Oryzias latipes: one gene and its partner. The protein of the gene in region 1 purifies or fractionates together with the protein of each later gene. This does not show direct contact. Links are inferred from orthologs where the notes say so. Each region holds a gene or a part of one and is shown on either strand. Other genes may lie near its edges.

Region 1 (15,488 bases):
AATCCATCAATTCTACTTGATGGACGAGTTGGTGGCATAAAAGTAAGACAAAGTGGTTAGGAGGCTTCATCGGGTCACGGTACAGAAAAAGTCGAAGAGAAGGGGGGGGGCAGGATGGAGGGGTTAATTGGGCGCAGGATATCTTTTCTGGCTTCAAACAATGACTGACACATTGTTTTAGTAGCTTCGGTGGCACGAGCCACATCAGTAACTAGTATGCAGGTGTTGGAAAACTGTGTTCTTCCTGTTAGTTGGAGCAGCATGGAGCCTTGGCCGGCTGGGCGGCTTCTGTCAGGTCCACTCCACGGTTCCGCCCGCTGGTGGCTCCTGGAGCCTGAGGCTCACTCTTCGGCAATCTCTTTGCTAAAGAATAAAAAGTCACAAAAATGTGAAAAAAAAAATACTTCTTTTAAAAGTTGTTTACAAATAAACTATTTTATTTCATTAAAAAATAGTGACGTAGAACCAGCCGACATTGGATTATGCAGTGGATTATCTCCCTGCAGTGACTCATGTCTGGCGGATTTGATGAAGCCATGATATTCGTCAACGCTCTATTATTGCTCAATTGAAGAATTGACTTGTGATCACAAGTCTCAGTAACACACCCACTGTGCAAGCACTTCTATGCAAGAGAATACAAACATGCGATCGACCACAATGTCTCCTATTACAATAGAAAAACATGAATTCATTTGAATTACCCACCAATTGCCATAAATATCTCATTGACATTCATCGATGTCTTGGCTGAGGTCTCCATAAACAGCAAGCTGTTGTCGTCTGCGTAAGACTGGGCGTCCTGTTGAAACAACACGGAGAATCCACTGAAGCTAAACATCCAGCAAGCGTTCCGGCTGTCAATGTATTTAAGCATCCGTGGGATTTAAATAGAACTAAATATGGCGTGTTCTTGCTCACCTGAAATTCGACAGCTCTCTTGTTAGCCAAGTCCGCCTTGTTGCCCGCCAGAGCGATGACTATATTGGGGCTAGCTTGTCTCTGTAGCTCCTTCACCCAGTTCTTTGCTCGTGCGAAGGACTCCTACGAAAAGGCATGTTAGCTAAACTTTCACTTGGGCCAATTCTTGAGGGGAAAATAAACATGAACCTGAAGCTAACATTACACTCTCTTTGAAGTACCGTAACTCTACGATCATTTTTCTCCTCATCAGAAACCTTTTTTTTATGTTAACTACGTCAATCAAGACTTACTACTGTAAAGAGTGCTTTTCTCCTCGTCCCAATCAGTTGGTTTACGTTATTTATTTCAAAACGTCACTACTGTAAAGTTCCAGAATCCGTTCATTTATGTTAATTGCGTAAACAGTTGAATAGTTACGGGAAGTCAAAGAAGGCCAACACTGGAGCTAAAGCTCCATAGTTCCAGCGCTTTCTGCGCGACATGAACGTGCCTCGTTTGTGATGTCGTAGACCACAATGGCTGCTTGTGCTCCTCTGTAATACATGGGTGCCAAACTGTGGTATCGCTCCTGACCAGCTGTGTCCCAGATTTCAAATTTCACCGTCGTGTCATCTAAACAGACTGTCTGGGTGAGGAAGGCCGCTGGCGATGGAAATGAGGCGAGTGGGTTAGTCAAAAACCACAGGCTTAGCACAAACTGTCATCCTATTGTAAACAGGACTCAAATGCAGTTAAAAGTACCGGATCACAACAATCAAAGTCCTAAACTGAACATACAGCATGCAGCTCACCTCCTATCGTGCTTTCCTGGAATTCATGGAACTGTCCTTTGACAAAACGAAGCACCAAACTGGACTTCCCCACAGCAGACTCCCCCAGCAGCACCAGCTTGAACTGGCAGATCTTGTTGCCTGCGTTGGGTCCATTGGGTCTTGTAGCTCCTCCTCGATTGGCCATGACCTGATCAGATCCTCTGGACTCCTGAGCGCCAAACTTCACCCTCTTGACTTCAGCTGAAAGAAAGAAAAAAAAGTAGAGCAAAAAACAAAGCAAAAAAACAAAACAAAAACATAATATTTCCCAAACATATTTACGACTAAACAAAACCAGTTGATATTAGTGCGGCCATCACTGAATACCAAAGTGAGACCGGAGCGCCATCTTTTGAGGAACAACTCATTGATTTGTTGGCTTTCTAGTTTATGTTTAAACTGACAGAATCTTCCCTGATATGACAGACCTTAATATGAGAGCGTCTGAATAACTGTGTTTTAAGTTTACACTCCATAAAAAGGCTTACATTCGAGTCAAAAACAGGACAAAACCACTGATTTGTTCCAGAGATGTTGCTGACAAGTTTCTTTCTTAAGGTAGTGAAAGCAAGTAAGCAAGAAAAAAAAAAGGTTAAAAAGCCAGGATTTCTGGATTCAAATCATTAAATTATAATAAAAACGAAACATTGGACCAAAAAATATTTTTAGAGAATGCTTTCCTTACTTGATCACTGGTTATTCAGTGGGTCTGTGGGTTAGTGTCACTAAAGCAGAAGCTGCTGAACAACCACATACCATGCATTGCTCTCAAAGTTATTTAGGGCTAAATAGTTTTTTTTCCTCTAGGAGATAATGACTTTGTTTATGTGACATTACATGGAAGAATGTCGTCCACAGCATAGTTTGGAGAATAATATACACTAAGCTGCATAAAAACTCAATTATGTGTGTCATTTCTAAAAGTCTGGTGATGATACCCACACCGAGAAGAATTAAGGTGGAGTACAAAAAAACTACACTAGTTGTGTTTCATTCGCGTCATATTCCTCCACACACAGGACCACAAGCAGAAGGACAATTATTTTCACTTTAATTCTGGTCAAAACTGCACAATTTGCAACAAAATGTAAACATTTCTGTCTGTGAAAAACAAACAAAAAACAACAGTTGTTGCTGCTGGTTTAAGGATAAGGATAAATGTACGCCTGAGGGGGCACTCAAGCAAGAACTAAGAGGAGAAGCCAAAAACAACAACAACAACAACCATTACGGTAACTTAAAAACAGCTTCATACCACCCAAAAACATCTCTCTGGGAAAATACACAACTGATTAATAAAGTATATCAATAAAATTATTCAAAATAAATCGTAAAAACTCAATATATTGAACAAACAAGGTTTAAACAACCATGAAAAAAGGTTGTAAAAATGTGTTACTATAGTGTCACAATAGAGAAGCAACAGCTGAATCTAGAAAGGCCGATAAGGAGATTTTCAATCAAGCATTTACCAACAGTCATTTCCTCAGAAACGGGCAGCCCTGCAATTACAGGCAATTCTGATAGAAATGTTAAAGTAAAACGCTGCCTCTCCATCTTCACAGAACTGTTCTTTCAAGATGTTTTATGTTCGATACATAAAAACAACAAGATTTTGGACATAGCAGGCTTGTTTGTCAAAACTCCAGTTTGTTCCATGAATTCAGGCGGCATGATTCACTCGAAAGCCCAGCAGTGGATAAAGCAGAAATGATGCAGGGATGTGGACTGCTTTGTCATAAGCACCGTCAAGTCACAGAGTTGCCTCAAATCTGTTTTGTTTACCAAAACAAACAAACATGCCCAAAAAGCTGAACTTTGGATAGATACAGCATTGTATCGCAAGTCATTTAACCTTCTTGACCCATTTAGAATAAGATTTATTCCTATTTTCTCCTATGTCATCCCACAATATAGGTGAATTTAGAATATTGGAATGGTAAAAATATAATTATTTTTGGCTGAAAAAGGTTCAAACTGTTACAAATGAGTATTTCCTGACTTATATTTTAGATATTTATGAAAAAGGTTTACTTACGTTAGCACAGCAAAAATTCAAACCATCTAAGAATATTATTTCCACCATATGTTAAAAACGTTGCTGACATGTATTGATATATGTGTAAGAATGTTAAAACAATTAAGGATTAAATTTGATTGGAACTGATTCTAACATTTAAAAACCACTAAAGCTGCTTCACTGAGTAAAAGAATGTGATACAAAACCTTCTCAGAGCAGAAAATGTTAAATAACAATAAGAATATAAAAGCAAAACTTCCAACTACAAAGTAATAGTTAGTGTTAAAAACAGACAGGTAGAGCATCGGTGAAATGAACTAAAAAATGTGTGGCCAGTCTACAGTGCGATATATTAAAAAGGGCAGCCTCCCTCATAGCCAACAGTTTTAACATGAGAATCGATAGGAAAATAACCTTTCAGATATATTCAAACAAAACACGGTTTGGACTAAGCTAGTTGGTTGACGGCTCTACTTACAGCAACTTAAAAGTTTCATTAATATCCGCCGATGAATCTTTCAGAGCTTCATAAGATCAGGCTTTTTGCCAAGAATTCTAAAACAACTAACCGACTGGCAAGTGATCTGCCTCCTGAGTCTAATCTGTCAGTTCAAGGATATGTGCCAACATGGTAAATAGGCTCTTCCTTAATGAGATTAGACGAAAACAAAGCTTACAATCAAATAAATTCATAGTCAATAACCAGATATGAATGCAGAAATGCAATTAAGAAGGCTTCCACAAGGGACAAAATAGCAACAATAAAAAAATATATATACAGCTTTTTAACCTGAAATTATCAAGCCTGGTTATTTTTCATTACGTTACAAGTTTAAACAATAACCTGTTTTAAATGGAAATCTAATAAACTAGACTAAATAAACCCACATTAGCTGTGTTTACACTCACTATCATCACATAGAAATCCATAATACAGTCAAAATGTGCCAGGCACCCAGAACACCATTGAAAGTCTTAAATCTAGACATCTAAAAAAGGACTCTACGGAATTGGTTTTGTAGACCAACTTTCAGCAAGAATATTCTCCGTTTACCCACATTTGAGGATTAGTGTCAACAAACACGCCATGCATACAGTGCGCTAAATTTGGGTTTAGACGTCATCTGTCAACTATAAACATACTGTAAATGCTTGCAGCTAGCTTGGACGCATTTTAACTTAAATTCTTGTGTAATGTAGCTTGATGTACCACTAACCACATATGTTTTCAAGATCAAAATCTATTATTTGACCACTTTTAAAGAGCACACAACTTCAAGAACAACATCCAAACAATGCATACTTCCAATTATCTTATCTAAATGTTTACTGACAACAGTTTTAAGATGTAGAGGAGTTGCTTAATTTACCTAGGTTAGCTTAGCACAGCTAGCAACTCACCCACCCACCCATTTAGCTAGCAGCTTAAAACGATTAGCCGTACTTGCTACTAACCCCGTTGGTTTATATTATTCTCATCATTCCCCTAATCAACTAAATTTGAAAGCTGTACTCAACGGGAGTGTTTCAGCTGTGTTCCCGCAGGCGTCAAACATAGCATCATTAGCCAGAACTAGCTAGCGTCAGCGCTGGCTAAGGAGTCCCAAACAGATGAAGAAACGTTAGCCGTCCAAACAACGGCGCGCTACCTGAGAGCCAGACGACGCACGGAACTTTTATTGGCACCGCTGAAGTTTTTTTCACACGCCGACCGTCAGGCACCAGAACGGTAAGTTGGTTGGGAGGGGGGGGGGCAACAAAAACAATTTAAAGAATCGCGTCACGTCTCCTCCTTTCTTTATTCTCGCAACTTCCTCTTAGAACCAAAACACTAACAAGCTCTTCCGGCCTCCGTGCCACGTCAGACATCACGTCGGCCCAGCGGCGTTTCCATGGTGATTACCGGAGAACTCAGAAGACGAATTAACCACGAACGCAATGTGATGATGGAAAGATGCAACTTTATTATTCAAATGCTATACCTAGGCCGAATCCGAATTCTTCCATGTAGCCATACATTTAGCCCTTTCAAACAGAGAATTGTAGAAAAATTGTGTTATTCGGACGCGACTCCCACTCGAATACGTCATCAATAGTCGCCGGTCAGCTAGCCTTTTGATGTTAAAATGGCCTGCCATAAGCGCGGAGCTGCCAGCGCTCGGAACGACATAACATTGGCTTTACAGCTTTTAAAAGGTCATGCTAAAACAAAAAACTCCTTACCTACATTTAAATGTAAACTTCTGTGCATCTGCCACCCACGAGAAGAAACGTATGGAGTTATTTCAGTCTCAATAATCAGAAATGCACACAACCTGTTTTACAAATGCACACGTGACGCTCCGATTCACAAATGTCATTTTATGCAAACGTGAAAAATAAATTCGGAAACGCGCTTCTCCTCCGCTGCACACAACACGACGCGGAACACCCTCACCGCGGTGGGCTCGGCATCCCTCCGCGGCGAGGGTTAGCCCTAAAGCAATTATTGCGGACAGCCCAACCCATCTATGCCCATGCAATTGATGGATTGGGGGAAGCCGTAAGGGTAGGGGGAGAATTCGGATTCGGCCTTATAACCTTTTTAATGGTGTATTTTGAAAAGTGGAAAATTTACATTTATCAAAAGCAAGTGTCTATTCGCACTTAATTTTCGGACCTAGACTAGAGGAAAAGTTCCTGAGCTGAGCTTTCTATGCAGCTCACCGCACTTTCACGGGATGGATCAAATGTGGAAGACACTTTTCACACAACTAGGAGCGTGGCAGTTAATGGGACTTAATGTTAAATATAAAAACGTGCGGCCAACAACAAAATGCAAAATTAGACGGTCTTACAAATGTGGGAGCAATGCAATAATGTGCATTTTGGTTACACATCATCCATTTATTAGCTTCTTTTTCTGTGCTGAAAACATTAGCCTTAGAAAAATCAACTGCATTATCATGAGGAAGTGCCTATTCGCACATAACATTCAAAATAACTACGGCCAGACCTGAACTTCTATTATTATTATTAATATTATTATTGGTGTTAATGTATGTCAGCCAGTGTAAAGACTGTTTTTACTACTACTACTACTACTACTACTACTGGAGGTTTGGAGGTGGAGAGGTGGAGGTTTGCTCTGGAAAGAAGAGGCATGAAGGTCAGTCGTAGTAAGACAGAATACATGTGTCTGAACGAGAGGGATCAAGGTAGAAGCGTTAGGTTACAGGGGGCTGAGGTGAAGAAGGTGCAGGAGTTTAAGTACTTGGGGTCAACAGTTCAGTGTGATGGGGATTGTGGAAAAGAGGTGAAGAGGCGAGTGCAGGCAGGTTGGAGCGGGTGGAGGAAAGTGTCAGGAGTGTTGTGTGACAGAAGAGTGCCAGCAAGACTCAAAGGAAAGGTGTACAAGACAGTGGTGAGACCAGCTCTGCTCTATGGGTTAGAGACGGTAGCAGTGAGACAGAGACAAGAGGCTGAGATGGAGGTAGCAGAGATGAAGATGCTGAGGTTCTCCTTAGGAGTGACCAGGTTAGACAGGATAAGGAACGAGTACATCAGAGGGACGGCTCATGTTGCCTGTGTTAGCGACAAAGTCAGAGAAGCCAGACTGAGATGGTTTGGACATGTTCAGAGGAGGGATAGTGGATACATTGGTAGAAGGATGTTGGAGATGGAGCTACCTGGCCGGAGGGCAAGAGGACGGCCAAAGAGGAGATATATGGATGTCTTAACAGAGGACATGAAGTTGGCTAATGTTAGGATAGAAGATGTTCATGATAGAGTGAGGTGGAAAAGGATGATTCGCTGTGGCGACCCCTGATGGGAAAAGCCGAAAGAGAAAGAAGACTACTACTACTACTACTACTACTACTACTACTACTACTACTACTACTACTATTACAGCAATGAAATACTGATGAAAATAAACAATAATTTTAAGTTATTAAAACGCATAATAATAATAGTGTAAAGGCAATTTATTCGAAGTCTTTATTCCCATGAGATCTAGAATTGTTCAATATTTTTTTATTTTTTTTCCATATTTTTTTCTTAATTATGTCTGGATGCAGGAAAAAGCCAAGGGATGCGCTAAAAAGTAAAATATTTCCCAACGAAATATTAAATTGCAGTAAAAAGACAAAATTTCAGTAAAAAGACAAAAATAATTTCCTATAGCAAACAAATTAATAGTTTTAATTTTTATTTGGCCTTATAACTTCCAGGTTTTTTTAACTAAAAGGGTTTTCAGACCTACTGGAGATGCAAATGAACATTTCCATGCATTTCTAAAAGCCTTTCTTGCATCCAGGCTTTCTGATTAAAGGATTTTAAACATGAGCATTAATGAAGAAGAATGTGGTAGGAACAAGTTGACTGTGCAATCTAACAGTTTTAATATTCAATGCTGCAGTCAGACAATACTTATTGGATCTTTTGTTTTGTTCTTTGTTATTTTCTTTCTTGTGAACAATTTAACAGTTAAATGTGAAACTTTTTATGAATACGATAAAAGTAAAGAAATAGCACTGGGAGCCCCAAATAGTCCTACTTTTATGTTTTTTATTTGTGTTGAAGGGGGAAAGGTTGTCCTACCACGACTGCGCCAGCAGGTGTCACTGTAGCTCCACGTCCCGCCTTTAAGCTCAAACGAATAAGAATCTGCAGCATTTGCTCGAATGTAGCTTCCGGAGGGCTTTTACGATTGCTTTCATCGACAGTCAACTTTCTTTTTTTTTTTACTACTTAATGTTTACGCTGTTGGTACAGTAATGTGCCGGGGTGCAGGAGTATCTCCAGGTGGATTCCTGTAGGATAAAGAGACTCGAGGATCAGGAAAAACCAGCAGCGAACGATGGCGGAGGTGGAGACGCCAGAGGAGCTCCTGATCAAGCAGCACCGGAAGGAGAAGAAGGACCTGCAGGGTAGCTGACATGACCTGCTTTCACGTGTTTGCAAAGCTTTAGCTTCACTTCTCCTCTCAAGTTCAGGTTTATTGTGATTTAAGCGTATTTTCCTGTATAGCAGCACGTGCAGATATTTTGTATACTTTACTCCATCACAGAAAGTTAGAAAGGGCTCCTATTCTATTTTTTTATTTAACATTTCAATGATTTTACTATTAAGTATTAAAAAAATAGTCAAAAATTCAAATAATCTGATTATTTTTATTGAACATTTGCAGAGTATAACAATAAGAAAAATCATCATTTATAAAAATACAATATAAGAATACAACACAGTTCTAAATACAGAATAAAATTGTTTTAACCTTATGAAATTCATATAATCTGATTGTAAAGTCACAGTGGTTCAGGTTGACATCACAATAATGGACTAAACACATTAGGAGAATTAATTTATTTATAAATACTCCTATTTATTTTTAAATTATCTTGTCACACATTTGAGATCAAAGACAAAAAAGTTAAGAAGTATTTAAGTCATGAAAATTTTCAAACACATTTCATAAAAAGGTGAGAATGAAATGCGAAATACAAAATATCAAGTTAAAAAAGAAAAACAAACGATCAGATCAAAAAGAGTTTATTTTTCTGGTAGGAGCTTCTGGTGCTGTTGGAACTCAGAGCAGAGACAATCGTTAGTAAAATCGATTCAACACCCACACACTCGATTCAGTACGAAAATGCATACTCAGACGGATTCAAAGTTTAAAAATAACCAAATAAAGATGCTGCTGACTTTGCCCTTTAATAGTCAAATAGTGGTTGGTATAAAACTCCATGTAGCTCACTTTGATCTGAAGGTGCAAAGCAACTAATAAAATAAACTAACCATGAATGAGGAACTTTCTCAGAGCTTGGCAAAGTAAAGGCAGATAGAATAGACAACAGACTTTTATTATGAAATTTGATGCACTTTGTGAGCTCTTAATGCACCTATCATGATTCGGTCCCAAAACAATTCTGTTTGGCAGCCAACAGAAGTCATAGTTCTAAACAAAACAATCCTCTTGAGCCTCTATTTCTAACTGCCTGAGAGCTGTGATCTGCTATTTGTGTTATGTTCTTAACCTGTCTTCTTCTCTGCTTGATTTTATTCATCTATTCATTTTGTTTTTATTTTTCTTTAGCAAAGATCCAAAGTATGAAAAATGCCGTCCCCAAAAACGACAAGAAAAGACGGAAACAGCTGACAGAAGACATCGCAAAGCTGGAGGCGGACCTGAGTCAGAGACACGAGGATGAACTCCAGCAACTTAAATCTGCACCGGACAAAGATGTAGGAGCTGGTTTACTTTAATTTGGTACATTTGAACACATTTTTATGCTTTTTTTTTTAAACTGTATTTTTGCTAATTAAGTGTATAGTTTGATCTTTTTTTTGTATGTTTTTCCTTTTTATAAAGGTAAAGATTTTGTCATGGGATTTTTTTTTCCTCCTTTGAAGCAGAGAAAATGCTTTGCATTTATTGAACATGTCATAATTTTGGCTTTTGGTTCATAAACTGTACGGCGGCAGCCTTCAGCTTCATGACCGCTGCTGCTCTTCCTTGATCTTGAAGGTGGAGGAGGCTGCAAATGGGGTGGAGACTTTAAAAGTAGAAGCTGGAGAACAAGAGGAGGTCAAACAGCCTCGAGTTACAAAAGCACAGAAAAGAAGGGTGAGTGATGACCTGAAGTTTGTATAGGATTGTTACCGCATATGAATAATGGGGGTAAATTGTCCCTGTTTGCAGCCCTTTTTAGATATTTTTTGAATTCTCCAAGTTTGAGAAAGCCATCTGACTGATCTATATGTCTGTTTCTTGTCATTTGAATGGATCGACTTTATTGAAACACCCTCCAGGACAAGAAAGCAGCTCAGGAGAAGGAGAGGGATAGCAGGATCGCAGAGGCCGAAGTGCAGAATCTCCAGGGTGTGAGGCACCAGGAGGGCGTGAAGCTGGCTCAGAAACTGGCTGAGAAAACCCTTCAAATCAAGGAGATTTCCTCCGACGGCCACTGCATGTACCGCGCTGTGGAGGATCAGCTGACGCAGAGGTCCAAGGTGCATGTTTTCCGTCGGCGTGATGCTTTTATCGGAAACGCCCCGTTTGTCAGCAAAGGGATCATTTTGATTTTTTGGGTCTTTCCTAGCCAGGGTTGAACGTTACTTTTAAAGAGCTGAGGTCCCGCACTGCTGAGCACATGAGGAACAATCCGGAGAACTTCCTGCCCTTCCTCAGCAACCCCACCACCGGGGACACGATCACGACAGGCAAGTCGCCGTCTGCTGTGCTTCACAGAACAAAGTAAACCTGTCATCCCGCTGTAAGTATGCAGATCTGAACTGTTTCTGTCCCTCCAGATGAATTTGAGAAGTACTGCAGTGAGGTGGAGCACACAGCAGCTTGGGGAGGGCAGCTGGAGGTGATGGTGCTCCTTATCTGGAGGTGTCGACGTTTAACTGCCCTTTTCACTCATCTGATCTTTTGTTTTTTTTTCTTTGAAGCTCCGGGCTTTGACCCACGTTCTCCGCTTGCCCATCGAAGTGATTCAGGCCGACTCCCCCACTCTAAAAATCGGGGAGGAATACGACGCCGAACCCATCACTTTAGTGTAAGCCGATCTGCTTTATAATAATCTCACATCCATCACACAAACCTATCAAAATGCCTATAAACCTTAATTGAAATCACGTGTCTTCCTGATTGTTTGCAGGTACATGCATCATGCCTACGGCCTGGGAGAGCATTACAACAGCGTGGAGCCTCTGAAGAATCCGGCCAATGCAGAGGAGAGCTGAGAGCCAGCGGAGGTTTTCTGTGTCACAGCTCAAAGGACTGATGAGGATCTTGAAAACATGGAGCTCCTTTTCTGGGAAGATTAATAAACACAGCAGGATTTTGATGTTAAATATTAGGCAGAAGGAAATTATTTTGGCAGTAACAGCATGGAGGCTAGTGTTCTGCACAAACATAATGTGGTTCTTCCAGGTCTCAAACTCACGGCCCCTCTAACTAGTAGAGTGGGTCGCAGCTCTTTTATAGGCTAAATCCTATTATGGGGTGTAAACGCCACCTTTTAAGGTGTCAATAGAGCTCACAAAGTCACAATAAAGACCTGAGAAATGTCGGTTGCTGCTTTAAGAACAAATTTAAGATAAAAGAAAACGAGGCCCCTGTATTTTCCAAGCTCCACAAAAAGTTGGGAATTTGTCAGTGGTTTGCTGTTAAAACACATTAAATGGATCCAAAAACACTTGTTTGAGTTAATCTTTTAAATAGTTTTATTTCTTGGTCAAAGTCCATGTGCCTATTTCAAAATTGAGCTTTTATAGAACGCAGAACTCTGTCTGTCCTGTTTCTCTCTCTCATTTATCTATACAGTATATATAGATACATATTTCTGTATCACTCTATATATATATGTATGCAATATAATACCAAAATTATTGACTCACCTGCCTTGACCTACATAAGAACTGGAGTGTCATCCCATTGAGTTCAATATGATGTCGGTCCACCTTTTGCAGCTATTTCAGCTTCAACGCTTCTGGGACGGCTGTCCACAAGGTTGATGAGTGTGTTTATAGGAATTTTGGACCATTCTTCCAAAAGTGCATTGGTGTGGCCACACACTGATGTTGGTGGAGAAGGCCTGACTCGATCTCTGCTCTAATTTACCCCAAAGGTGTTCTATTGAGTTCAGGTCAGGACTCTGTGCAGGCCTGTCAAGTTCATCCACACCAGACTCTGTCAGCCATTTCTTTATGAACCTTGCTTTGTGCACTGGTGCAGTAATGTTGGAAGAGGAAGAGGCCGCTCCAAACTGTTCCCACAATGTTGGGAGTGTGGAACTGTCTATTATTGTTTCATCTTTAGTCAATTTCAAATTAATTAGGAGCTTAAAACATTTTCCTTATAAATTGTTTCTTTTATTTTCTAAATCCCACAAAACCCAATTTAATTTGAAAGTGACACAGTACTTAGGATAATAAGATTGTTAAAAATATATTTTTCAAATGACATCTTTACCTGATTCATCACAATCTGAAAAGATAAATTCAGTCTTAACTTCAATTTTCTTTAAACGTGTCCTCCGACCTCCGTCATCAGAAAAATGCTACAGGAACCTGTAAAAAAAAAAAGCACCGTTTTCATTGGAGTGTGTCTCTACATGGCCTGTGTGACTTAAAGAAAGCGCCATGAATTTGAATAAAAGCTCAGAAAGCTTGTTTTTTTCTTCTGTTTTTTCATAGCATATTTTAAAACCAGAGGTAGCAGGTTTGCTTCCAGAACAACAACCCTGGCCATCCTCCACTGAGCAGCAACTCCATCAACCCTCCCCGCCGAGCTCCTCCTTTAACAACAGTTGAAGCCGTTTCTGTATATTTCCCTCTCAGCTTGACTGTTTGTTGGAAAATTGCCACGACAGTCCTTGAACTGTTTTACTCATCACACAGATTTGTGATTAAATGGGTTGCTTTGCTGCCTCACGCTTTGCCTGCAAATGGTTGAACTGATTTGGGGGGGGGGGGAATAATGACCTGAAGGAGTTTCCAACTGTTCGGTGCCATCTGGAGTCCTTCAAAAACTTTAGCTGCTGAACGACTGGAGGGCCACCTGATGCGACAGGTACTGTAAGACACGACTTTAGCATAATCACTATCATCTCCCCTCTGAAATCTACATTTATAAAGGTTTTCATGCATCTATAATACAAGACTATTTTTATTATTACCCCAAAATGAAAAAAACAAAAAAACAAAATCAGACCTGATTAATTCCATGATGTGATCCAGTGATGCTTTCTTGCAGTAATTGTGACAAAAAGGTGTGAGTGATGGCAAGATGAAGACTGATGGATTCTCCAACTGTTAACAAGAGATAAAATTAATTTTTTGTTTTATTTACAACAATTTTAAGCATAAAATGAAAGTCACCAAAACCTCCTATAAGGACGAAAAAAAAAAAGGAAAAACACTTAAAGGAAGTGATTTAACACTTGTGCTATCTTAAAAGACCCCACCTTTACATTGACGTGTTCTTCCTACCATGACAAAGGTGGATAAAGGTGGAAAGATTTCATGTAATCCATGGACACCAGTGAAGATCACAAATCATTGAAGAAAAAAGGTTCAGAGCACTGTCTAGTGGATCTAGATGACCCAACTCCCAATGTTAAAGTGCCTAGGATAGCACAAGAGTTAAATTCACTAAAGCTCAATTTTTGAATGAAACTCAAAACAAAATCTTTGTGGTTCTTTCTGAGAATTTATCATAAGGCTAATTTAGCACAAGTGTGCAATAATGTTTTAAAAATTCAACTCTGCTTCTGTTTCCACTTTGCCGTTTTTTCTGGAATGTTGCTCAAAAGACTGAAGTGCCAAACTTGAAAGGGAAATGAAAATTAAAGCACAAAACACAAAGACATTTCTTTGCATCTCAATAGAATATCTTTTGTCGTCCCCCTCGTCTCAACTTGCTGCGTGGTTTAATACAACACAAAGGTTAAGGCAAAAGCACAGCTTTTATTTTGACTTCATTAAATGCATTTTCTTTTCAATTTAAATAGAAACATAATGAACAATCCCCAAGACACAGTATTTTATGGAGCCATGGACATTAAAAAATCATAAATTATGCACTCAATTTGTAATTTTGTGCAAACAAGTTAGAATTTTGTGTCCACAAGCTAGTATTTTGTAAGCCAAAATAATCCAAAAATTATTAAAAATTTGAACATATTTCTTTACATAAGCAAAAAAATCAGTCAGTGGAGTAAGACAAATGGTCTTTTCTAGAATTCTTAATTTAAGAAAAAAATTGCAGTCATTAAGAATAAGATTATTTTGCTACTTATAATCTGTGTTGATAATATTCTTTTTCCTGCAAGACAAAAAATATTTTTTTCTTTCTTGAAACAAGGATCTTTTGACTTTTTACAACGGAACAACGGAATATCTTTAGATATTAACATTGGTTGAATCCTCATGGACACTGATCAGTCGGCGCCAGTTCATTAAAGCATGGTGGTGGCAGTATTATGTTATGGAGGCCACTAAATTGAAATGACACAAAATAGTAACAGCCTACTGAAACCTGCAAGGAAAACGGAGAGTCATCTGCAAAAAAACACACGTTTTTACTGTAATAGTGATACACCACAAACACTAATGACAAACATTTCGATAACAATACTTGTATAAACTTAGAAAGACAAAATTGTGTTAAAAAAAAGCTTTAAGATAAAAGGAGAACTAATTTGTACCTGACAAATCCGTCTGATTTAGCAGGTAAATGTGTTTTTGTCATTTCTGAAGGCTTATTTTGATTTATCCTCACGCCTGATCATCAATTTGATAACACAGTTTTGCTGTTTGGAATCTTTATAACCATCACAATGTTTGATTTTCCTATGATTTATCTGTTTCTCAGCAGATTTGACGAGCTTTCCGTTCTTGTAATTCCAATTATCTTTACTTCCAATTGGCTGTATCAGTCAAAATATATAAAATAACTCATTTAGTTGTCATTCATTTCTTCAACAACAGTCAGTAATTATTCATTCACGTTAACAGGAGATTTTTGGAACTGAAGTTGGACACGTTATTAAACATTTGTGCAGCAAAGCTCCAGTTTCTGAGCTTTGGTTTACTTTTCACATGTTACTTCACTCTGTGGCCTGTAGGTGGCAGCATCGGAACATGGATGTTTGGCCTATTTTAGGATTCGTGACAGTAAAAGACTTGAAAAGTGGGCCCTTTTTTTAAAGAAAAAAAACGATAATTTATTTTTAAAT
Region 2 (15,469 bases), on another chromosome or scaffold:
CTTTTTTCTTCAATGATTTGTGATCTTCACTGGTGTCCATGGATTACATGAAATCTTTCCACCTTTATCCACCTTTGTCATGGTAGGGGGGACACGTCAATGGAAGGGGGGGGGTCATCTAAGATAGCACAAGGGTTAATCACGTGCCTCCAAATTCTGATTGAAGAAACACACCTGGTCCAGGTAACCAGCAGCAGGCAGTGCAGGGAGAGCTGAGACACTGGCAGGGTGGTAGATCTGGATTCAGAGTCTAACAGATGCACCACATTTGTTGGAAACAGTGCCCCCTAGTGAGCACAGCCAGAACAGTCAGAAGCCTTGAACCAGGGGGGTCCAAACTTTTTGCAGGGGGCCAGAATAGAGGAGGTGAAAATGTGTGAGGGCCAACCAATTCTTTGAACCCTCATATTAATATTATGCAGAAAATTACTGTAAATTTTTTCTTTGAAGACCAGTAATAAAATAAAGAAAAAGGAAACCTTTCTTCAACAATAAATCTGGGTTTACATGAAAAAATACATATTAGTCATTACTAAACGCTTGCTGTAAACTTCTACATTTAAATCACGTGAACAGGAATATACTGCCCTAAACTACTTGTATTTTTTATTCAGCTTTTTCAAGGGACATCTAGGTGTTGGAAAATATTTTCTACTTAAAAATATTTAAATTTTCTGTTTTTGAAAGTGTTCTTTTTTTAACTTTTGTTGCCATCTCTAAATGATATGTAAGAAAAGAAGTTGACACATAAAAAGTGTAAAATACAATAAGAAAAAGAACGTCCACATTGTCTCTGAGTGGAGATCATAGCTGATTATCAGGCGCTTTTAACCCTTGTGCTATCCTAGGCACTTAAACATTGGGAGTGGGGTCATCTAGACCCACTAGACAGTGCTCTGAACCTTTTTTCTTGAATGATTTGTGATCTTCACTGGTGTCCATGGATTACATGAAATCCTCTCCACCTTTATCCACCTTTGTCATGGTAGGGAAAACACATCAATGTAAGGGGGGGGGTCATTTTGACCCCATAAGATAGCACAATGGTTAACGTGGGCGCTTTGTTCCTTTTAAGTTTTTAGTTCCTCTGACAACTTTTCTTTTAGCATTTATGATCCATTTGGTCCAATTAAATGTTAAAAAGGATCTAAATGTTTCCATATGTGTCCCAGATGTGTGTAGGGAGGGATTTTGGAATGAACCTGAAATGTTATATATTTTTCTTCTCACAAAAATGGCCTGTTGGAGGGAACTGTCTGTCATTTGACAAAAATCCCCATCTGAGTGATTCCTGTTAGGTTAACTCACAATCACCTCAAAGAGGAAAAAAAACAAAACCATTATACATTTAAACCAAAGACGTTGCTGCACGAGTGCACGCAGCTCAGAAGCTTCTAAACACAAAGAGTGCTTAGATGGGGGGGTAAATGTGTATTTATGTTAGTATAATAAATGAGGGAGTCTTTTTTTTTGTCTTTGGACAGTATTAGTGGTAGTGCGTCTTATTGTTGCTGCCCTGGCCGGCTGTTTGTTTTCACTGCCTGGGTGTGTGAGTGTTTGGTGTGGGAGGAGGAAAAGCGTTGATTCTGGAGCCCTTAGTGCACGGGAGGCTTCTGTTCTGTTTACTATCTCTGCAGCAGTCAGTTGAAGCCCGGAGGGAAAATACCTCCCACTGTAGACGATAAGCATTCTGACAGGTAGAGTTAGCAAAAACAGCCAACAATTGGTTTTTCTAGCAAAAATGTCACACAAAACCCCAAACTGTGAGTCAACACCCGGACATGGAGACTCACGCTAGACCAAACACGTCATCCATGGATCTGCATGGTGAAAGTGCAGCCTGAAGTGGGAGGGGCACATTGACCTGAGGTTACTCCGCCCACCTTCGCAATGCTCTAAAAGTAAAACATGGGAAGCACTGACAATCAAAAAGAACATCCAGGAGGCGGACCTTAACATAAAAAACAAAAAGGGTCAATAAAGCCAATAAAGTTTTTTACTCCATTTCTGAGTACTGTGCAGGAGTTTCTCCGACAGCATCTTTGTCACACAAAAACCCTGAAACTATGGAAGCATTTCTGTAACACAATTAAAAATAAAAGTCAATACCAAAAATGCTTTTTCATTTTCAAAATGAAGCTGCGTTTGTTGACTCAAAATTAAAATGAAAATCAATCCGCCAAACTGGTTTTTCTGCCTCCATCCTGCAAATGCTGACTGGCATTGAATTATCCTACACTTTTTGAGGGGGAGATGTGAAAACGAAAATGCAATCCCCTCTTTGCATTTTCGCTTTAATTATGTGAGAGTAAGCAGTGTTGAAGTGGAAAATGAAAAAGCATTTAGGAGGATTGATTTTTCATTTTTATTTTGACTCATCTGATGCAGTTACATTGTGAAAATGAAAAAGCATTTCTGTTGATCCATTTTAATTGTCAAATAGATATTTATAATTGAACTTTGCTACACATTTACTAGAGAACTTTTTGACAATGAAATGTCAAAAACCATTTTCTTTATCATTTTAATAAGTTACAAAAAGAGCGGTATTGAAGAAGAAAAAGAAAACTGATTTGGTGGATTGATTTTTCATTTTATTTTTGAGTCATTGAATGCAGCTGCATTTCAAAAGCATTTCTGTTGCTGACGTTTATTTTTAATTATGCTACAGAAATGCTTCCATATGGATCCAGTTGGGAGGGACATCTGCTGAGATGCCCTCCGGATAAACTCAGAGCTCAATGCAAAAAGAAACGCTAGCGTTCAGGTGGACGCCAGAGATTTGGGTAGAACATGTTTGAGTGATGATAGTTGTCTCTTTTTAAACCCAAAATTACCTTTTTTAGGAAAAGAGTCATTTGAAAACAACAGATTAAAAGAAAAAGATTGTTTTAGTTTTACCTGAAGCAGCCTAATAAAAAAAAAAACAGAAGGAAAAAGTTAAAAGAAGAATCTTGATTTCAGGTGAGCGGGTATGTCTCAGACTGCACAGATAAATAGTGTCACCATTATTAAACGATGGTTTCGTAGATGGGTTTACTACGGGAATAACTGTTTGTTTAAAGAAAATAAGTGCGTTTAAGCAAACAAAACCTTTTCACTGTTTATCAGAATTACTTTAGCTTGGTTTCCTGTTTCCCACCTTTTGTGTAGCGTCTTGAGAAATTCAGCTTTAAGGCCGTGTCATAAAGCTAATATGTACATTTTGCACATTTTACACGGATGAAAATTGGTCATGCGTGAATAGATGTGGAAACAGTGAGAGGGGTTGTGGGTTGTGTCCGAATTCCTTCTCTACTCACTATTTAGCGCGTTCCCCATTTTGTAGTTCTGTCCGAATCTACAATTCCAAAATCCAGTGCTCTAGAAATGTCCCAGAAGTCTCTACGAAAAACCAGCGTGCATTGATGCTCACTAGATTGACGAATATAACCCTCAATGCATTGAACGGATCAATTTTTATAATTTTTAATAAACCATCAACGTTTATATCTTTAGAAGACTCTGGGCTCATAAATAATCGTCGCAAAACGCTCATATTTATTAGATTTTAACTTCTTGAAATGGATGACATCCTATTTGCCATTTTAAAAGTAGTGCGGGTATAAAACAGGTATAAAAAATCATGCTTTTTTGGTTATTTTTGTGTGAAATGCCCAAATAAAAAATGGGAAAATAAAACAATGTTTTCACTAAGGTGACAGTTGGTTTAGTCGACAGACTTGATGCTTTTGTGAGGACATTTATGCTAAATGCAAAAACATCTGAAATATGGAGAAAAAAGGTCAAAGCTGGTGCCCAATTTAGAAAGAAAAGAAAAGAAAAAGAGGAGAAAAGAGACAAAGAAAAGGGTAATATAGCATAGCTAGATGCACGTTTTCTAAATTTGAATGCTACCTGCCCTACAACAACAACAACGTTGCAGAGGAAAAATCTCTTGTTTGGTCTATCATGACCAAAACTGAAGTAGGCCCAAATATTTTAAATAACGTCATTTTTAAGATTTTCTTCTTAAATGTTTGCTCTGCCTTAACTTGTAACATTAGTTATGATTCGTGTGTCTGTCTGCTGTGTCACAAAGTTTTTGTTGTGTTTTACTGTTGTATATTAGTTCATAATGTTAAATGAGCTGTGATGGTAGCATGCTGCTGCTGCTGCTGCTGCTGCTGCTGCTGCTGCTGCTGCTGCTGCTGCTGCTGCTGATGCTGCTGATGCTGCTGCTGATGCTGCTGCAGCTGCTGCTGCTGCTGCTGATGCTGCTGATGCTGCAGCTGCTGCAGCTGTTAGCTTTTCAAAACTCCAGTTGATCAAGTCATACCTGAGATCACCAAAGTCTCAGGAGCAACTCACTAACCTGCTGTTGTTAGTATCAATCATTCAGTAGGGAAGCAGATTTTATATGATTTATTATTGACAAACTTGCATCAAGGAAGGCCACAAAGGTTAGGTTTTAGTTAGTGTTTTCTGTTCTTAGTGCTGCAGTTACATTTATTCTAGTGTGTTATTAGTGTGATTTGTAGTTTATAATATTTATTTTAGATTATTTATTTGTGTTTGATTAAATATTTCCTAACGGTATTTTTGCCATGCTGATAGTCTTTTAATTTTTATGTTCCTATAACTGTTATAATGCAGTGCAGAATTCTGATAAACATCTTTTTTTTTATATCAATTTCTTAGTTTCAGTTACAATAAATGGACAAAGTGACTCTAATGGGGGGGGGGGGGGGGGGGGGGGCAGAGGAGGGTCTCGCCCGGGGAGTAATTCAGGGTAGAACCGCCACTGGTTAGGGGTTAGGGTGGGAAATCGGACAGAGCCGTGGTCTTTACGTGAAATTTTCACAGATTTATCATGAATAAACATGTTAAAAAACACGAAAAAAAAGTATAATCCACACAAAGAAGACGTAACCCAACGTGGAACATGAACCGTTAATGATTATTGCGCTAATTACATGCAGTTCATTAGTGATTCAGGCATCAATGATGTCATCTGAACGTGATCTGTGCGCCGTGTACGTGATCTAAAAGTTACACATCAGTGGTTCATGCATGAAAAGTCTGTTAGACAAACGTGGAACGCTCCTGGAAAGACACACATTTGTGTATCTCACAAAAATCACACGTAATTGCAGAAGATTTATGTAATAATTGCGTATAAACTACGTAAATTGCGTAATTCTCAACCGACCAAAAATTTTTAACAGAACAAAACTGAATTCACGTTAAAACCCGTCGTCTGAAACCCTCGAGGGACATCTGAACACATCGACAAACGCAAGAAACATTTATGAATGACGTAGATCAGTGGTCCCCAACCCCCGGGCTCCCGGATATCTGCCCGCTCCGGGGGTCATTTGGGGTCATTTGGTACCGGGCTGCAGAGAAAGAATATATAACTTGCATTACTTCTGTTTTATTTATTTCGGAATCTGAAAGATGTTTTATTTTGAAAAATTGCCCAATTCTTTGGTACATCAGTCTATGTCATTTTTGACGCATTCCAAGGCGCTCTTCTCGGTCACGTGTTAAGTTACCGCTAAAATAAAATCCAGGAACTAGCAAAATGAGTAAAAAACAAAATGTCTTTGGAAAGTTTCTTTGCCGAGGGGAAAATGCCCAGCCAGGAGAAAGAAGAAGAGCCTTCAACTTCCAAAATAAGAAAGCTAAATTTAATAGACAGTACCTTTTTTTGCACCACGAGAGTGTGGGAAGGGGAGATGATGATGAGACCTGTGCGATGTCAACTTTTAAGCGAGTCAAACTAAAAGCACAGAGTTCGTCTTGTCACGTATTTGATCCTCCCTCATCCTAGTATTGCTACAATAATCATCCGCCTATACTTGAAATACCGGTCCGTGAAAGTTTGTGTGATGTCATACCGGTCCGTGGCATGAATACGGTTGGGGACCACTGACGTAGATCACGCATGGATCACGGAGGACTGAGATTTCATACACTGAAAATGCACAAAATGTACGTGGTGGTTGTTTGACACGACCTTAAGACTACAGCTTTATAAATTAAGTGGGGGGGGGGGGGGGTTCCTCCTTTTTTCCAATTTATAAACGGATGGTTTCATAATTTGAGAAGTCCAAGTCTGTGAGGACGTCACATCCTCAAGTAAAAAATAATTTGTATTTTTGTTTTATTTTTTCTGTACCTGTCAGAGTTTTTGAGTGAATGGCGGGTCAAATTTAGGAAGAATTGTGAGACAAAAATGGTCTTTTCAGTCCAGGACAAAGTTATTGTTCCGGTGACACTATTGTTGTTTCTCCTGTGTGTGTAGTATAAAAAAACAACAACAGTTTGTGTTGACTTTATCGTGTTTGTGTGTTTTAAAAAGAGCAAAGCGGCCGCCCGGAAGTGCGTCATCGCTGAGGTCATGAAGAAGGAGGAAACAGATTTCCACAGCTAAGATGGCGGAGGAACAGCAGGAATCATCACAGGGAGAGATGGAGGGTGAGAGGAGCCCCTGTGGCACGAAAAACCCCGCGTGCCGACCTGTCAGTTCTGCCGAACATCCGGACCGGATGTGACCGGAGCTCCGAGCGGGATGATGTCCGCCCGATGCTCCGGTAGACTGAAGTGTAAACGGGTCGCAGCTGCTCGGCTAACGATAACCGAGCCACACAAAGGAAACGCTGTAGTGCAGCGGCCGACCGATAGCCCCCCTCCCCCAGTGCCAGAGCTCGATGAGGACCCGTCGGAGGCCAGAACCCATGCAGACTCTGCAGGACGGATGTCTTTTCGTTGATAATTAGTTTTGTTTTGACGCAGCATCATCATGAGCTAAACCCTTTAGCTGTCTGTCTGTCTGTGTCTGTCACAGAGACAGACAGACAGCGGTACCGGTTCTGATGGGTTCAGACGACATCCAACTTGTTTTTGAACCCTCATCAGCATCCTGTGCTGCTACCCTTTGACTCGCGTTTCGTGAGTTTTTTTTCCCCCAAAAACGCGCGCGCCGACTTTGTTTTTATTTCCCAACCAGTGCAGCGGACGATGCAGAGACGATCTTTGAATCTGCTTTGTACTTTGGAGTGGCTCTAGGTTCTAGAGAGTTCTGTGGTGCTGTTGTTGTGGCTGCTGCTGCTGCTCTCAGGTAAAGCTAAAAGCGCTCGTGTCTTCCAGGTGTGAACTGCCTCGCGCATGATGAGGCCATCATCGCTCAGCAGGACCGGATCCAGCAGGAGGTGAGGAAACCCCATCACTGGACCGGGCTCAGATGCTGAGCTCGGTACTGGTCTGATGTCTGTGATGATCACGTCTGGATCTTCACGTTTCAGAGAGTTGAAGTTTAAGAAAATCTTTAAATGGAATGAGGAAAACTCTAGATTTGCCATTTTAGTGATCTATATTGCGTTGACGATGGAACTTGCAATACATGAACAAATAGCAAAACAACCGAAAACATTATTTCTATTCCACTGCAACAGTTCATTTAAGTAAGGGCCAACATGCATTATACTTAAAATGACACTCATCTACATAGGAGGCAGAAATTGACATGAAAGGGCTCCATCCGATTGGTCAACAACGTGAATGCGTCCAATGATTGGTCAACAACGTGAATGCGTCCAAATGCTTGGTCCACAACGTGAATGTGTCCATCCGATTGGTCAACAACGTGAATGCGTCCATCCGATTGGTCAACAACGTGAATGCGTCCATCCGATTGGTCAACAACGTGAATGCATCCAATGATTGGTCAACAACGTGAATGCGTCCAAATGCTTGGTCAACAACGTGAATGCGTCCAAATGCTTGGTCAACAACGTGAATGTGTCCATCCGATTGGTCAACACTGAATTTGTCCAAATAATTGGTCAACAACGTGAATGCATCCAAATTCTTGGTCAACAACCTGAATGCACCAATGATTGGTCAACAACGTGAATGTGTCCAAATAGTTGGTCAACACCGTGAATGTGTCCATCCGATTGGTCAACAACGTGAATGCGTCCAAATGCTTGGTCAACATCGTGAATGAGTCCATCCGATTGGTCAAAAACGTGAATGCGTCCAATGATTGGTCAACAACGTGAATGCGTCCAAATGTTTGGTCAACAACGTGAATGTGTCCATCCGATTGGTCAACAACGTGAATGCGTCCAAATAATTGGTCAACAACCTGAATGCGTCCAATGATTGGTCAACAACGTGAATGTGTCCATCCGATTTGTCAACACTGTGAATATGTCCAAATAATTGGTCAACATCGTGAATGTGTCCATCCGATTGGTCAACACTGAATTTGTCCAAATGATTGGTCAACAACGTGAATGCATCCAAATGCTTGGTCAACAACGTGAATGTGTCCATCCGATTGGTAAACACTGTGAATTTGTCCAAATAATTGGTCAACAACGTGAATGCGTCCAATGATTGGTCAACAACGTGACTGCGTCCAATGACTGGTCAACAACGTGAATGTGTCCATCCGATTGGTAAACACTGTGAATTTGTCCAAATAATTGGTCAACAACGTGAATGTGTCCATCCGATTGGTCAACACTGAATTTGTCCAAATAATTGGTCAACAACGTGAATGCATCCAATGATTGGTCAACAACGTGAATGCGTCCAATGATTGGTCAACAACGTGAATGTGTTCATCCGATTGGTAAACACTGTGAATTTGTCCAAATAATTGGTCAACAACGTGAATGCGTCCAATGATTGGTCAACAACGTGAATGCGTCCAATGATTGTTCAACAACGTGAATGTGTCCATCCGATTGGTAAACACTGTGAATTTGTCCAAATAATTGGTCAACAACGTGAATGTGTCCATCCGATTGGTCAACACTGAATTTGTCCAAATAATTGGTCAACAACGTGAATGCGTCCAATGATTGGTCAACAACGTGAATGCGTCCAATGATTGGTCAACAACGTGAATGTGTCCATCCGATTGGTAAACATTGTGAATTTGTCCAAATAATTGGTCAACAACGTGAATGTGTCCATCCGATTGGTCAACACTGAATTTGTCCAAATAATTGGTTAACAACGTGAATGCATCCAAATGCTTGGTCAACAACCTGAATGCGTCCAATGATTGGTCAACAACGTGAATGTGTCCAAATAGTTGGTCAACACCGTGAATGTGTCCATCCGATTGGTCAACAACGTGAATACGTCCAAATGCTTGGTCAACATCGTGAATGAGTCCATCCGATTGGTCAACAACGTGAATGCGTCCAATGATTGGTCAACAACGTGAATGCGTCCAAATGCTTGGTCAACAACGTGAATGCGTCCATCCTATTGGTCAACACCGTGAATTTGTCCAAATAATTGGTCAACAACGTGAATGTTTCTATCCGATTGGTCAACAACGTGAATGCGTCCATCCGATTGGTCAACAACGTGAATGCGTCCAATGATTGGTCAACAACGTGAATGCGTCAAATGATTGGTCAACAACGTGAATGCGTCCAAATGCTTGGTCAACAACGTGAATGTGTCCATCCGATTGGTCAACAATGTGAATGCGTCCAAATGCTTGGTCAACAACGTGAATGTGTCCATCCGATTGGTCAACAACGTAAATGCGCCAATGATTGGTCAACAACGTGAATGCGTCCAAATGCTTGGTCAACAACGTGAATGTGTCCATCCGATTGGTCAACAACGTGGATGCGTCCAAATTTTTGGTCAACAACGTGAATGCGTCCAAATGATTGGTCAACAACGTGAATGCATCCGAATGATTGGTCAACAACGTGAATGCGTCCATCCTATTGGTCAACACCGTGAATTTGTCCAAATAATTGGTCAACAACGTGAATGTGTCTATCCGATTGGTCAACAACGTGAATGTGTCTATCCGATTGGTCAACAACGTGAATGTGTCTATCCGATTGGTCAACAACGTGAATGCGTCCATCGATTGTCAAACGCATGAAGGGATTTATTTGATTCTTTAAATACTTCAAGCTGCCATTGTGCACGTTTAAGGTAACCATTAATCGCAATTTCTGCAGACTTTCGCGATATGCGTATTGCACAGCTTGATATCGTGAAAATGATCCTTTTTTTTTCACTTGAAAAGTCATTCAACCACAATGCATTGTGGTGTATATTTGCAAATGTAGATGGTGTCCAAATTCCTTCATGAAGCACTACTCGATGCACTATATAGGGCGTTCCACTTTTTTTATTGGTGGGGGATTCCGAATGTACAGTTCCAAATTTCAGTGCCCTGGAATTTCTTTCTACGAGAAATTAGTAGGCATCGATGTTACAAGATTGGCCAACGTAAACTACAGTGCAACGCTTCTTTGTTTGTAGAGAAAATGTTTCAATTTTATTTTTATAAACTGTTCATGTTTTCATCACCGTGGATTAAAATCTTTTTCAAGGTCGTGTCACACAGCCGAGTACTTTTTGAGCATTTTCCTCGTATGAAATGTTGTTCTTTCTCGCCTTCGTCGTTTGTCGATATGCATAGGTGTCCGTCGAGGGTTTCAGCTGATGGATCATTACGTGAATTTGGTTTTGAGTTTAAAATTTTGAGAATTATACAGTTTGTGCCTGTTGTACACACAATTATTACATAAACTATAATTGTGCTTGATTTTCGCAAGATGCATACACAAATCTGTGTCTTTCAACGACTGTTTATCTTATGTCTAACATACTTTTTATGCATGAACCACCGTTGTATAACTTTTATATCACCAGTGACCAGTTTTCATCCGGGCTATATCAATGTACATAGTGGCTGTGGGACACAGGCTTTAATTGTTCATATTTATTTATGAGGTTCTTGCTTCTGGAAATCGGTGATGTCATAATAATAATAATAGTCAGCGTGGAGTCTGAATTGCTGTTTAAAACTTCTAGATAGTTTTTAAGTGATAGCGGAGAAATCTTCCCACAACAGAGAAAACACTTCCCAACTAGCTAGCGACATGAACATCAGTGAATTTAGAGGCGGCCCTTCTTGGTGCTTTCCTTTATGACAAGACACGAATATGGACATTAACGTCTGGACAACGTTGAGTTATTGTTCTGGCTGTCCACTATTTCAAGAGTTACTGTATCGTGATTGCACCAACTTGTTTTGGGAGTGAACCGAGCTGTCAGAATGTTGGTTTGTATTCTATTCGTAAAGTTTGACAAACTGACTTTTCTGACTTTTTCGTTGACCTTCCCTTTAGCGCAGCATCATCTAGTGCAGTGGTCCCCAACCTTTTTGTTACCGCGGACCGGTACAACGCAAGACACGTTTACCGCGGGGGGGGGGGTTTGAGGCACGTTTACCGCTGCCTATTAAAGGCAGATTTCCCTCTTTTAGGGGGTGCAGGTTCCTCTTCTGTCCCTTCATTGGACCGTTTCCCCTTGTCAAAGCAACTTTCTAAAGAAGTTTGTTTTTTTGCTCATTTTGTTTTTTTGTGTTTAATTTTAGCGGGGTGTATCACGTGATGTTTGGTGTCGCGACTTTGACGTGCGTTAAGTGTGACGGATGTAACAGAGAGAATCCGGTCACTTTTCAAAATAAAACGTTTTTTTCTCTCGAAAAAAAGCAATAAAATGGAAATTATTTTTTCTTTCTGTGCGTCCCGGTGCCAAGTGTCCCGCGGCCCGGTACCGGTCCATTGGTGCCACTACACCAATTTCTGTTCTATGCGACTGTTTTTAACAGTTTTAAAATAGGCCATTCTTTGATGGTGCGGAAAAATACAGTAGAACAAAAGCATTTGTGTGAATCCAAACCTGTAGTAAAAGTTGCAGAGAGTCTCTCAGTGCAAACACAAACTGTGATGTGTGTTTGTGTGAGTGTGCAGATCGCCAACACGAACCCCCTGGTGTCGGAGAGACAGGAGCTGTCGGTGCTGCAGAAAGAATATGCGGAGGACGACATGGTTTATCAGCTCAAGATCAAGGTCGGTGGGCTCACGCATCTCCGCCTCCGTCTTCGCTCTCCTTACATTCGGTTTACTAATGTTCCAACTGCCGCATAGATTTTAAAATTACGCCCTTTGATGTCGTCGCAGGATCTCCACAAAAAGTACTCTCATATTCGGAAGACACGGCCTGACGGAAACTGTTTCTACAGGGCCTTTGGTTTTGCACACCTCGAATCCCTGTTAGAAGACAGCAAAGAGCTTCAGAGGTTAGTGTTTTCTAAAGGACCGGTTCTGTCTCATTGGGTTCATGATGTGCTGCGTTCTCACCAAACGACAAGTTCCAAATTGGCTGCTGGACGTCTTTCCAGAAATGGGTTAATAAAGGTGACGGTCGCGCCATGTCCTGCCGATCTGACAGTTTGCATATTGCCCTGACAAAATTCACCTGTGCGGGTCAGAGAGGAGAGGCCTGCCCTCTAATTAGAGTGCCATCAGTTGTAGAAAAAAGGAGACCTAAAACGACAAAGACAGAGGATATGGGAGTCAGAGAGGAGGTAACTGAAAGAGGCTCCAACTCTCAACCCCGCTTCCACAACCTGAAAGACCGACATCGTTTCAGTGGAAGCCCGATTGGATGCAGCATCCACCAAACATCTGCTCCAAACCTGGATCCAATTTGCTGCACAACAAACCGGACCAAGAAACAAAAACTCTTCAAAGAAAACACTGAACTTATCTTCTAAAACAAGAAAGACTGTTGGACCGGACTCCCTGTAAAAGGGACTGGATACAGGAAACAACGGCCCCAGAAACCCGGGACGGATTTCTAAGGAGTACCTGGACCGACATTTTAGATAGATGGATGGATAGATAGATAGATAGAATTTATTCCAGACTCATGCTCCAATCAGTAAAAAGGAGTACACAGACCCACTACATTTAAAACAAATACACAGTGTCAAGAATACACAAGTTGAGGTACAGTGTATAGTTACAGTTAATAAAAACGTTAATAAAAAATACTTGATAAAAATAAATTGATTAAAAATGATAAGAATAAATACAAAGATAAAAAGATTACATATACATACCACACTATAAAAACCTTAATTACAATGACAAATAAAAAGACAGTCCCTCCAGTGTTTCCATAAATTTGACCGGAAACATATGGGACTAAATCTAATGTTGCTTATAGCCAAGATGAGAGTATTCTCTGAAGCGTTTAATCTGCAGATAAATTTGAACATAAGCGAGCGCATGCAAGCCCAGAGAGTTTTAATTCTGAGAGAAATGAAAAGCTCACTAGCACTCGTCCTCCTTGGCTTATTTAAAAGCACTCTTAGAGCATCATTGTACGCCACCTGCAGCTTTCTCGTACTGGCACTTTTATAGTTCGCCCAAAGATGAGCTGTATACAGAGGAGTGCAAAAAGCTTTAAATAATGTCACCTTGACTCCTTCCGTACACATACCAAACTTTCGAGAAAAAGTGTTTGCTTGGCTGTATACCACACGACACTGCCTGTAGATGTCTGCGTCATCTGACAAGTCTTCTGAAACGACATGCCCAAGATACTTGATCTTATTAGTACACACAAGCACAGCATTTGACAGGTAAAAATCATTTAATCCTCAAACAGGAGAACAAAAGGTACCCAGAGGAACAAGACTGTGTGGCCTTGCATTCTAGCTTCCTTTGAGCAATGCACATCCTAAAGAACAGCAACAATAAGAGTTTAATACGTCAGGAGAGAGACCTGACTTTTCCTCAGGAAAAGTCATCCACAAACTGTCAAAATGTGTGGGAGGAGCTACTGTCCAATTATTTTTAATCCTCAACGTTACAGAAGCATTGACTGTTTATCTCGTTCACAATGCATAGAAGACATGAATAGCCGCGTTTACATGGGCAAAAGTAATCGGAATGAACGCCTGATCGGAAAGAAAATGCGTCATGTAAACGCGCCATTCAGAAAACTCTGCCCCGATCAGACTCGTTCGGATCAGAATTTCTTTCCGATCGAGATAGGTGGGTTATACCGATCGTTTATCCTATCGTGGAGCATGTAAACGGTCATTCCGATCGTGTGTCACTACTGCTCTGGTTTAAGTCACGCATAGACGGTGTTTCGCTGAGAGAAAAGCATTGGAGCGCATAGGGGACCGCTCTCGCCCCGCTGGCTCTCCCGTCTCTTTCACCCCTCACGAGGGAGGTACGGGGAAGGAGCTCTTCGTGCCCCCCGACGCTCACTCGGTACACTGGCACCCGAGTGAGCAGAGGAGCTGGGTTAATAACTCCGTGTCTGAGGGGAGGAGGATGCTTGTTCGGTGTGCGTTTTTTTTGTTTTGTTTTGTTATGTGTGGGAGAATTCAGACTGCGAGGCGTTCCGCCGCTCTGGGTTAGCGGCTGAAGGACTCAGGAGAGCCGCCAGCTCACGCAGCCAGTTTGGGGAAGCAGAAATAAATGTCGCTCAGTCCTTTTCAACACTACTGCGCATGCCCAAATGATTCATTCCAACCGAAAGTGTGAGCCATGTTCTAGTTGTTCTAATCGGAAAAAGGTTTTCTGATCCCATGTGAACGGTTGAATTTTAACCCGACCATTGATCCGATCAAGATATTCTGCCCATGTAACCGCGGCTATTGATGTTTTAGCGATCAGGCTGCTTTATTTTGAAGAGCTTTACTTAAAGATCGGTAATTCTGTCTCCATGACTGGATTCATGGCATCATTCAGAGATTCTCCCGGTTCGGCGAGCTTCACTGTCTGCTGCAAGAGCGGCGTCTGAACGACGGGCGATTTCAGCGGTACTTCCGTCTCTGTCACCCAGTTTGACAACTCGCCGTCCCGCATTCGTCCGAGGAGAGAAGAATAAAAATAAAGGATCTTTTTATTATTGATTCCATGTAAATAAAATCAAACATGTGGCGACCCCTGATGGGAGAAGCCGAAAGTGGAAGAAGAAGAAGGAGAACCTGAACTCCACCCACTGATTACATCAACACTTGACTGGTCAAAACTGAGTTCCTGATTGGTTGACGCAAATTTTTCACCAAAGTTCAGATTTTTTAAATCTGAAAACACTGAGGCATAAAACCAAAAAAAACCCCAGATTTCCGGCCGCAGGTGCACCAGTCTGCCTCCACAAAGTTAAAATATTTGCTTTTGTGGCAAACCAGAAAAGGGTCTGCACCACATTATGTGGTAAGCTTTCCCAATGAGATAATCCTTGCACATTTATTAGGGCGGGCTTTCTGTTAACCAATCAGAAGATGGAATAACTTTATTAGGGCCCCAAAGGGGAGTTTGGCAGGGGCAGTTCTTTGAGTTGAGTTCCTGACATTCTCCTAAGTCTCTGTGATTGGTTAACTGGGTTTTTATGCCCCGCCCTAATATTTGTTGTAGAATCCTCTCCTCAAAAGGTTGGAACATTTGTTTCAAAACCTTTTTTTGGGTGTAGAAACATGTTTTTGCCAGCAGGTGGCAGACCTCTGCAATCTTGCTTGTTATACCATGGTTCGGGGGAATTCTCGATTATGATTGGCTGCTGGGTGTGCATGAAAAAGTGACAACCCCATGACTAAAATAAAAGTTCCGGTCACATA

What was found.
Region 2: the proteins of otud6b (region 1) and otub1 fractionate together in Homo sapiens (co-fractionation; 4 studies listed by BioGRID and IntAct, with this or other methods). This does not show direct contact. The link is inferred for Oryzias latipes from reciprocal best matches to the Homo sapiens genes OTUD6B and OTUB1.

Annotation. Positions count from the first base shown.
Region 1 is NC_019869.2:22,467,849-22,483,336, forward strand, and holds otud6b (OTU domain-containing protein 6B), read left to right. Parts: upstream 1-8,411; 5' UTR 8,412-8,596; coding exon 8,597-8,666; intron 8,667-9,835; coding exon 9,836-9,984; intron 9,985-10,267; coding exon 10,268-10,366; intron 10,367-10,551; coding exon 10,552-10,752; intron 10,753-10,841; coding exon 10,842-10,962; intron 10,963-11,052; coding exon 11,053-11,114; intron 11,115-11,196; coding exon 11,197-11,303; intron 11,304-11,405; coding exon 11,406-11,490; 3' UTR 11,491-11,945; downstream 11,946-15,488. Other genes in the region: ras-related protein Rab-5A, read right to left, coding at 248-363, 709-802, 922-1,044, 1,415-1,566, 1,716-1,937, 5,980-6,007.
Region 2 is NC_019876.2:28,614,894-28,630,362, reverse strand, and holds the start of otub1 (ubiquitin thioesterase OTUB1), read left to right. Parts: upstream 1-6,358; 5' UTR 6,359-6,419; coding exon 6,420-6,462; intron 6,463-7,134; coding exon 7,135-7,196; intron 7,197-11,798; coding exon 11,799-11,897; intron 11,898-12,008; coding exon 12,009-12,127; intron 12,128-15,469. UniProt on the Homo sapiens protein: Hydrolase that can specifically remove 'Lys-48'-linked conjugated ubiquitin from proteins and plays an important regulatory role at the level of protein turnover by preventing degradation.